Linked DNA regions of Rattus norvegicus. The protein of the gene in region 1 interacts with the protein of each later gene in a pairwise test. Links are inferred from orthologs where the notes say so. Each region holds a gene or a part of one and is shown on either strand. Other genes may lie near its edges.

Region 1 (4,414 bases):
ACTGGTTACAAGGAAGCCAGAAGTTGGGCATGAGCCCCTTACAGCACAGGAGTTCTGAAGGCTGCAGAATGCTCCCATAAGACACTGTGTCCAGGAACCACCCTCAGGTGAAGTAACAGCTTGTTCGTTTTCCTTTTTGTTTGTGACAGCTTCATGTGGCCCAGGCTGGACTCTAACTCTAGAGCTATATGGTTTATCCACTGTAGAAGCTTCCCAAAGCTCCTTTTCCCCTGAAGCGGCGCCGGTCAGGTTCCCGGGGAAACACAGGAAACCCAAATAGCCGACCAACCTTGCAAAGGATGCGCCTTTCTCGGGGTAGCGTCTCGGGACTTCAAGCTTCCCCCCCCCCCAAGTTCTCAAGCAGAACGAACCTGAAGCTGCAGCAAGCCGAGTCGAAGTTAGACCGCGGCGACACAAAGTTCGCGCGCGTTCACACCGCCGCAGGTTCCACTGCCTGGGTACCGGGGCCAGTCAATCAGGTCTCTAGGAAGCCGCCATCTTCCTTACCGGAAGTGCTACCTTCTGGGAAATGTAGTTCAGTGGCCTTCAGGACGTGGAAGCTGATAGGCTGAGGCGTTCTAGGGGTGTAGCTTGGAGTGTAACGGGCTGGAATGGGGCTGAAGAGGGAGGGGTAGTATTGAGAGTGGGTGTGACCCGTGGTGAACTGAAGCAAAACTGAGAGGAATTTGTAGTTCGGGCTTAATCACACTAAGGTTCTCAAGGCCTCTGCTGTGATAGGACAAGAGATTGAGCTGGGCGGGGCCGTTTGATGATTGACGGGGTAGGAATTGGCTTGGACTTGCCTAGGGCCCTCTCAGTTACTTATGTGACTTGGGCTGGTATTCATTCACTAGTTCCGCGATGCGAGCTGGTGGTGCACACCTGTCATCCCAACACTCCAGAGGCCCGAAGACGAAGATCGGGTGTTTAGACAGCCTGGACTATATGAGACGCTGTGTGAAAACCAAATGGAAAGAAAAAGTAAAGAAGCCACTGTGGACAAGCTCACTGTCGCCGGTGACTCCAACGGCCTGATGCAGTAGTTCAGTCTCGTTGAAGAGAAACCTTGTGGGCTACTGAACAGGTGCAGGCTCTTGCCGCCAATCCTGACGACCTGAGTTCGATCTCGGAGACAAGCAGTACCATCACAGACAAAGATAAATAATGAAAAATAAAAGCTATGCAAGTGCTGGAGCCAACTCTCTTAGTTTTGTTTTTAGAGACACAAAATAAAATTTTAAAAAGACCTTCACATTAGAGCGAGCCCTGATGAACAGGGGGACACAGAAAATCCAAAATAAAAATGGAGGCACTACATGTTTGGGCTGGGATAAGGGGATACTGATATCTTGGAGTGGGACAAAGGTCCTGGTCCTCCATCCTCTTCCTGTTCTGGAGGAAGCTGGCATCCTGGAGAAGGAAACAAAACAATAACTGTCCATGTGATCAGGGTAGGGAGCTTCCTGTTTCTCAGCCTCTCCCAGGCCACCTTTGGCCATTGCAGCCTCAGTAGCCAGTGGCCAGAATGGCCTGAGATATTCTTAGGAGTTCAGACCTTTCCCAAGGTGCCCTGGAGAAGAAGAGAAGAGGGCCGCAGGGCCAATCCCCAGGGTGAGGGAGTTTGGTACTAAGAGAGTCGTGGGAAGAAGGAGAAATCTTAGGATACCACTCAATGCCTCCATAGGGAAGAGAGGGGGCACAGATAAGAGAAATGAATTCAGACAGCGGAGGGAAAAGGAATGCCCGGTAGAGATGGGTGACGGGGAGGAGGAGACAAGTAAACAGTGGGCACTATTGGAGAGGTATTTAAATATTTAAATGTGTCAATCAGTTCAAACGAACCAAAACTCCTACAGGAAAAAACAAAAAACAAGGATACCAAGGTAACAAAAGGCAAGAACTGAGAGCAGGCTGTAGTGACAAGAGTAATGAGTGCCCGGGCCACACGACCCCGAAGCCGGCGAGGGAGGCATCCTCTGCCTGTAAGTGTGCCCCTCTTCCTGCCACACCCAGCCCATGGATCCTGGGAACCCAGGTCTGCTTGGCTCAGAACCTGTTGTGGTACAGGGGAGACCTCCACAGGGAGAGCTGGATGTGATGACCAAGAGCCCGTGTGTGTGTGTGTGTGTGTGTGTGTGTGTGTGTGTGTGTGTGTGTGTACGCACCCGCACATGCACGGGAGTGTCATTCACAGGGGGAGCTGGACCCAGTAGCTGAGAGCTCAGAGGAGGTAGATACCACCAATGGGAGCTTCGAGACTAAACCTGAGCTGCTTCAGGAACATCTTGGTCCTAGCCTGCAGGGCCCTGGGAACCGGTAGGATGCCGGGGCCCATACTCAACTGCCTCCAGCTGCTCACCTGCCATAGCTTCCCCTGCCCGCTTCTCTCCTCTTCCTTTTTACCCTCCAGCCATGAAGCTCAGTCCCTGCTCAGCCTTCCTAGGGACCCTGGGGTCAGCCCTCCGCCTCTGCTGAGTCTCAGGTGGCTAGGGTTCCTGATTATCCTCACAGGATCAAGGAGGATTGTGATGTGGGATCCCATGGGGTCCTACCCTTGAGCCCGGAAGAACGGCGCGAGCCTGAGGTGGAAGCCCACCAGGCCCTGCAAGAAGCCCCTCTGGATACTGGCCCTGCTGAGATAACAGCACCCAATGTGTATGAGACCTTGAAGTGCAGGCTGAGCTCCCTGGAGGCAGTTGTAGCTGCCTGGCGCCGCCACTCGCTAAGCTTTTCAAAGCCAGTGGAGGCAGAAGACAGAGACCCGGGAGCTCCGGGGTCTTTTGGTAATGAGGAAGAAGCCTCTGGACCTGGACAGCAGGAGGCAGCGCACTTCATAGAGAGGAACGCCTGGCTCCGGCTGGCCCTGGGCACCCGGGAGGAGGAACTGGCGCGGACTCAGGCTTCACTGCAGGACGCCCAGGCAGAGAATGAGACTCTGCAGAGACAGGTGAGCTGGTGACTGGGAAAGAGGCAGATCCTGCTTTGAGAGTAGACACTGACGTGGGTGGAGCAGTGGCAGATGTGCCAAGGAAGTGACCAATAAAGACAGCGCGGTGAGAGGGGGAGCAAGGGAGACCGGCAGTCTGCACCCCACGATCTTAACACGCAGGAAGCTCAAGAGGGACAATCTCTACTCTGGCGAGCCCTGGCTAAGACCAACGTTCTTCTCAGCTGTAGACTGAGTCCAAGGTTAGCCTGGGTTACAGACCCTGTCTGTGTCAGTTGCACCGCAGACAGACAGACAGACAGACAGACAGACAGACACAAATCTTATCTTGGGGGTGGTGTTTTTTTCCAATTCAAGGTTTCTCTGTGTAACAGAGCCCTGGCTGTCCTGAACTTACTTTGTAGACCAGAATGGCCTCGAAATCACAGAGATCCCCCTGCCTCTGCTTCCCTAGTGCTGGGATTAAAGGTGTGAGCTATGCCAGATTTGTTTTAAGGTTTCTATTGCTGTAATAAAACACCACAATCAAAAGCAATTGGGGAGGAAGAGATTTATTTCATCTTAAAATTCTCAGGCCTCACTCTGTCACTGAGGGAAGCTCAGGCAGGAACTTGAAGGCAGAGGTTATGGAGGTGTGCTGCTTACTGGCTTGCTCTCCATGCCTTGCTCAACCTGCTTTCTTATCTCAGCCTGCCCAGGGATGGCACTACACACAATGGGCTGGCCCCTCCCTCCCCATCAATCGTCAGTCAGGAAAATGTCCACAGGTCCAATTGGGGGAGCATTTTCTCAATTGTGGTCCCTCTTCCAGAATGACTCTAGCTGAAGTCAAGTTCACACGAACCAGCACAACTCCTGAGATCACTGTAGCTGGAACTGAGTGGGAGAGGTGAAGGCACGTGGGGGAAGGTCACAGTACGCAGGGTGCTGAAGGCTGGGCAGGATTTACAACTGTGTTCTTGTGTGTGGTGGGTTCTGAGGGGAACCCTGCTGCAGGTGTTCACTTGCGCCATCTGATGCCTGTGAGAGGAACAGTCTGGCGGTGGACCATAATCCTGAAGGTGGAGGAGGGGCGACAGCAGTGGCTCGGGGCGTTTAGTAGAGGTGACCAAAAAACCTACAGATTATGGGTGACGTTAAACCCAGATGTGATAGGACAAGCCTGTAATGATAAGGACTTCAAAGGCTGAGATGAGAAGATCATAATTTAGTACTAGCTTTGAAAAGATAGGCAATCGTCTCAAAACAGAACAGAGCCCTAGCTGGTTCTGCTAAGAATCCTCGTCAGCCTGTGGGCGTGGCTCAGGGTAGAGTGACAGCGTAGAATACTCCAATGAGGGGCTAGGGGCGTGGCTCAGCGCTTAGCTTTCAGAGGCTTCTCACAATAACAAAAATGAGTTCTCCTGAGTGTGGTGGTGCACACTTGAAATCCCAGCTGCTTGCGAGGCTGAGGTGGGAGACGGCTTG
Region 2 (3,651 bases), on another chromosome or scaffold:
ATAGCTCTCCACTCAATCAAAACGTCCCAGGAAAACAAGATGTTCAACAGTCCTCAACCTCAGGCCAAGCAGCAGAGCAAGAGGCAAGCCCGCATCCTGAGAAGGGAGACCACGATATCTCTGAAGAGCTGAGCCGACAACTGGAAGACATTATAAACATGTACGGGTCTGCTGCCAGTCCCACAGGAAAAGAGGGCACCTCCGAAACTAAGGAGCAGCCCCAAAACACAGAGGCACCGGACAATGAGGATGGCGACTATGAGGAAACCACTGAAGAGACAGACAGAGAACCCACTGCTCCTGAAGAGCCTGCCACAGTCAAAGGGCCTGTCAGTAATAAAGAGCAAAAGCTGGAAAAGAAAATCCTGAAAGGATTAGGTAAGTATTATGTTCTAATATAGGACTTTTCTCTTAAATTATTTCATTGGCTTTAACATCAGAAAAAGACAGTGTTTGGTTTCAGACCCCAGGGGACAAGGGATCAAGGTGCATATTTTACATACCAAAGTAGACCTGGCCCCCATGCCCCTGAACTTTCCAGCCCAAGGACTGGGCTGCCCTTCACTCCATACTCTTCCCTGTCTCTTCTTCCCTATATAATTCAGACATGTTTTTGTTCGCTCTGTCTCTCTCTGTATCCCTCTCCTTCTCCCCCTCCCTTCCCCTCCCCCTCCTCCTCCCCCTCTCCCCCTCTTGCTCTCTCTCCTCCCCACCCCCCCAAGCAGGCCATTTCTCTTTCTCTTCCTTCCCCTCTCCCGCATGACCACGCCCCCCGACCTCTATCCTTGGAGCCTATAAACTGGCCTGGGAGCAGATTCCCCATAAACCCGCCTCTAAAATACTCTCATCTGGTTTGAATCGGCTCCTTCCGCTGGCAGAGAAATAACCTATCAGCCACATAAATGGATTTGGTTTAATTTCAAATCCTCCTTTTGGGATTCCCTACATTTTCCATTGCTGTGTTTTTCTCTAGCCCATCCCCTTTCGTATTACCGAAGTGAAGATTTTCCACGCATGCCAATCTACTCCACGCACGTGGCTACCCATCGATCTTAGAATTCTAACCCAAAATTCTTAAGATAATCTTTTGTTCTTGCGGTCTAACCCTGACCGGCTTAACCTTGATCTCATCTCCACTGTATTCCCTGTATCTCTTTTCTTTACCAATCCATCCCTGACGCCACCATGACCGAAGTCATTCTCACGCCACCACGACCGAAGTCATTCTCATCTTCTCTTTTAGTTCTTTGAACTTCCGTGCTCCGTTCTCCAAAGGCCTGAGCACACTGTACCCTAAGCGTCTGCCCGTTTCCCACGGCCACCCTTCCAGCCCTTTGAGCATAGAACTTCTAGCTGCCATTTAACTCATAGCCTAATGGCATTTTCTTAGTCACATCCTAACGTTGCAATCCCCTTGGGGTTTGCATTATGCCACGAGTCATTCTTTAGTAACAAGCATTTCAAGTCATACATTTCGGGAGAGAGTATTTAGTTAATGAAGCTAATTCCCAATTGGATTATTTTTCAATCTCAAGAACACTGTGTGTGTGTGTTTTGGACATCATCGGATGCCTATAATATTTAAGATAGGAGATGATAAATTAAAGACTCAATAGTAATTTGCTGAAAGAATGAAGCAATGGGATATTTAAAGCAAACTTAGTTAATAAGCAAAATATAATAAATAGGGACAAATTTATTGATAAAATAATTGTTAATTAGATCACTTATTGTAAAATATTTTTTTATTAAGGATAGGTCACAAAAAACAAACAATAATAATAATAACAACAACAACCATGGTTACGTCTGCCAAGAACTGTGCTCATCTACCATTAATTTCATGACTGGTTAGTGCCTGGTTAATGCCTGGTTACGAGGCACTGTGTTGTGAGAACAAAAAGAAGAGATGACACAGGTTAAGGGGCTCTTGGTACAGAGAGAAAAGCAAACACAGGAACCATTACTCAGCAGAAACACACAGAGGAGGAAATGGTTTTGAAGAACATGGGGTTTGATAGCACCAACAGTAACTGTGGATGGAGGGAAAGAATGCTAATTTTGCACCCCTCTCGTCCTATGACTGAAAACACACTACTACACACAGGACAGCCCTCCCAGTCTGTCCCCACTGGTGACCAACAGCAGAGAACTCACTTCAAAGACGACTTCCCACATGAGACTTGGTTGGTTTCTCTCTTCTCCCTTACGTTTTCTTCAGCTTCTGTGATAGATGGGTAATTTCTTGAGGGTAGTAACCACGTCTCATTCACTTGTGTGGTGTGATAGAACGAAATACCAAGGACGATGTATGAGAACTACGCTCATACCCGAGTAACAGATTTCTTATCTGTAAACCCAAGTAAACTACACTTGAGTAGGGTACTACTATGTACATAAAATGCATTATGAAAAGGTTTCAGGAAGTGTTCATTGATACCTTCTACTAATACAACAGACCCCCACCCCCCACAACATAAAGGTCACAACAGTATTTAATATATTTTCATATCCCAACAACACAAGGTTGAATCATTCTAGAACACCGGGAGGCATAATAATGTCCCTCTGTGTTACAGAGAAAATTTTTCTTTTCTCTTCTCCAATCAAATCGTCCTAGATGTGCCCCTTAGCTCTGTCGTGTTAAAGATCCAGAATGTTTCCAAACCACTGTTTATATCATCCTAAGCCATTTATATAGGCACCTCAGTGTATGTGTTATACTGAGGGACAGAGTATGAAGGAAATAGGAGAAAATTAAAGAAAATAGGAGAAACCATTTGGAGCTTTATACTCTCTCCTGTGAGTTGTTTTTATAAATCCGTATAATACTTACAATTACCAAATCATTAGGACAGTTTTTTCAGGATGAGAAAGCAATCAGACTTTTTTTCTCCTGCTACTCTCCAAAAATTACCCAGCTCCAACCCAGTGTGTTTGGCTAGAATTTCTGTTTGTGCATCAGAGGCCCTCTTCAGGCGTGTGTGGGCCAGTGGCCTTTCTGTGCCATCCCTCTCAGTGTCATCAACGTGTTCTCCTACACACAGTATCGCCTCAGCTACACTCATAACAGCATTTTCAGGCAAGCCTACCCATAAACCACGTTAGTTACCTATAAGCAGCTTTAGGAAACTCCTTGGCTCCTTGTTAATTAAATCGCACTGCAATTTCGTTTACAAACTTAACCGTGTGTTTAACTCAGATTCAAAACTTACCAAAACTCTACAATGCACAGAGATTCAGAACTGGTATACATTACCTCAGGCCAAGGCACTATGCTAGTTTAGCAGAAAGCAAATTGTGGAAGAAAAGGGTGCTAATGGCTTTGGAAACTGTTCCTTTTGACCTTAGAGTAATAAAGTTCTGACTGTGGGCTTCCCCGGGCAGAAGGAGGTTACCAGATGAGATAAGGCTCTGCCTGTAGATGCCTATAACTGTCTCCTCATGAAAGAAAGCTTTTCATAGGCAGCCCTAACTGCAGAGGTCTGCCATTTCTCTGAGTAATTATACTAAATATCCCAAGAAAGAGGCTTGTTGTGGGTTAAGTTATTGACCATCATTGACTACAGGTAAGTTTCTATATATACACCAGGACACTATGGACTCCATAATGTCTTCAGGCACCTATTTACTTCTCATCTTCTTTAGAAC

Evidence for each region. The genes of interacting proteins can lie anywhere in the genome.
Region 2: the proteins of Ushbp1 (region 1) and Txlnb interact in binary tests that used the Homo sapiens proteins (3 or more experiments, as listed by UniProt). The two-hybrid records come from large-scale screens. The link is inferred for Rattus norvegicus from reciprocal best matches to the Homo sapiens genes USHBP1 and TXLNB.

Annotation. Positions count from the first base shown.
Region 1 is NC_086034.1:18,098,974-18,103,387, reverse strand, and holds the start of Ushbp1 (harmonin-binding protein USHBP1), read left to right. Parts: upstream 1-1,520; 5' UTR 1,521-1,611; intron 1,612-1,856; 5' UTR 1,857-1,928; coding exon 1,929-1,982; intron 1,983-2,194; coding exon 2,195-2,316; intron 2,317-2,511; coding exon 2,512-2,947; intron 2,948-4,414.
Region 2 is NC_086019.1:14,227,692-14,231,342, forward strand, and holds part of Txlnb (beta-taxilin), read left to right. Parts: coding exon 1-378; intron 379-3,651. UniProt on the Homo sapiens protein: Promotes motor nerve regeneration. May be involved in intracellular vesicle traffic.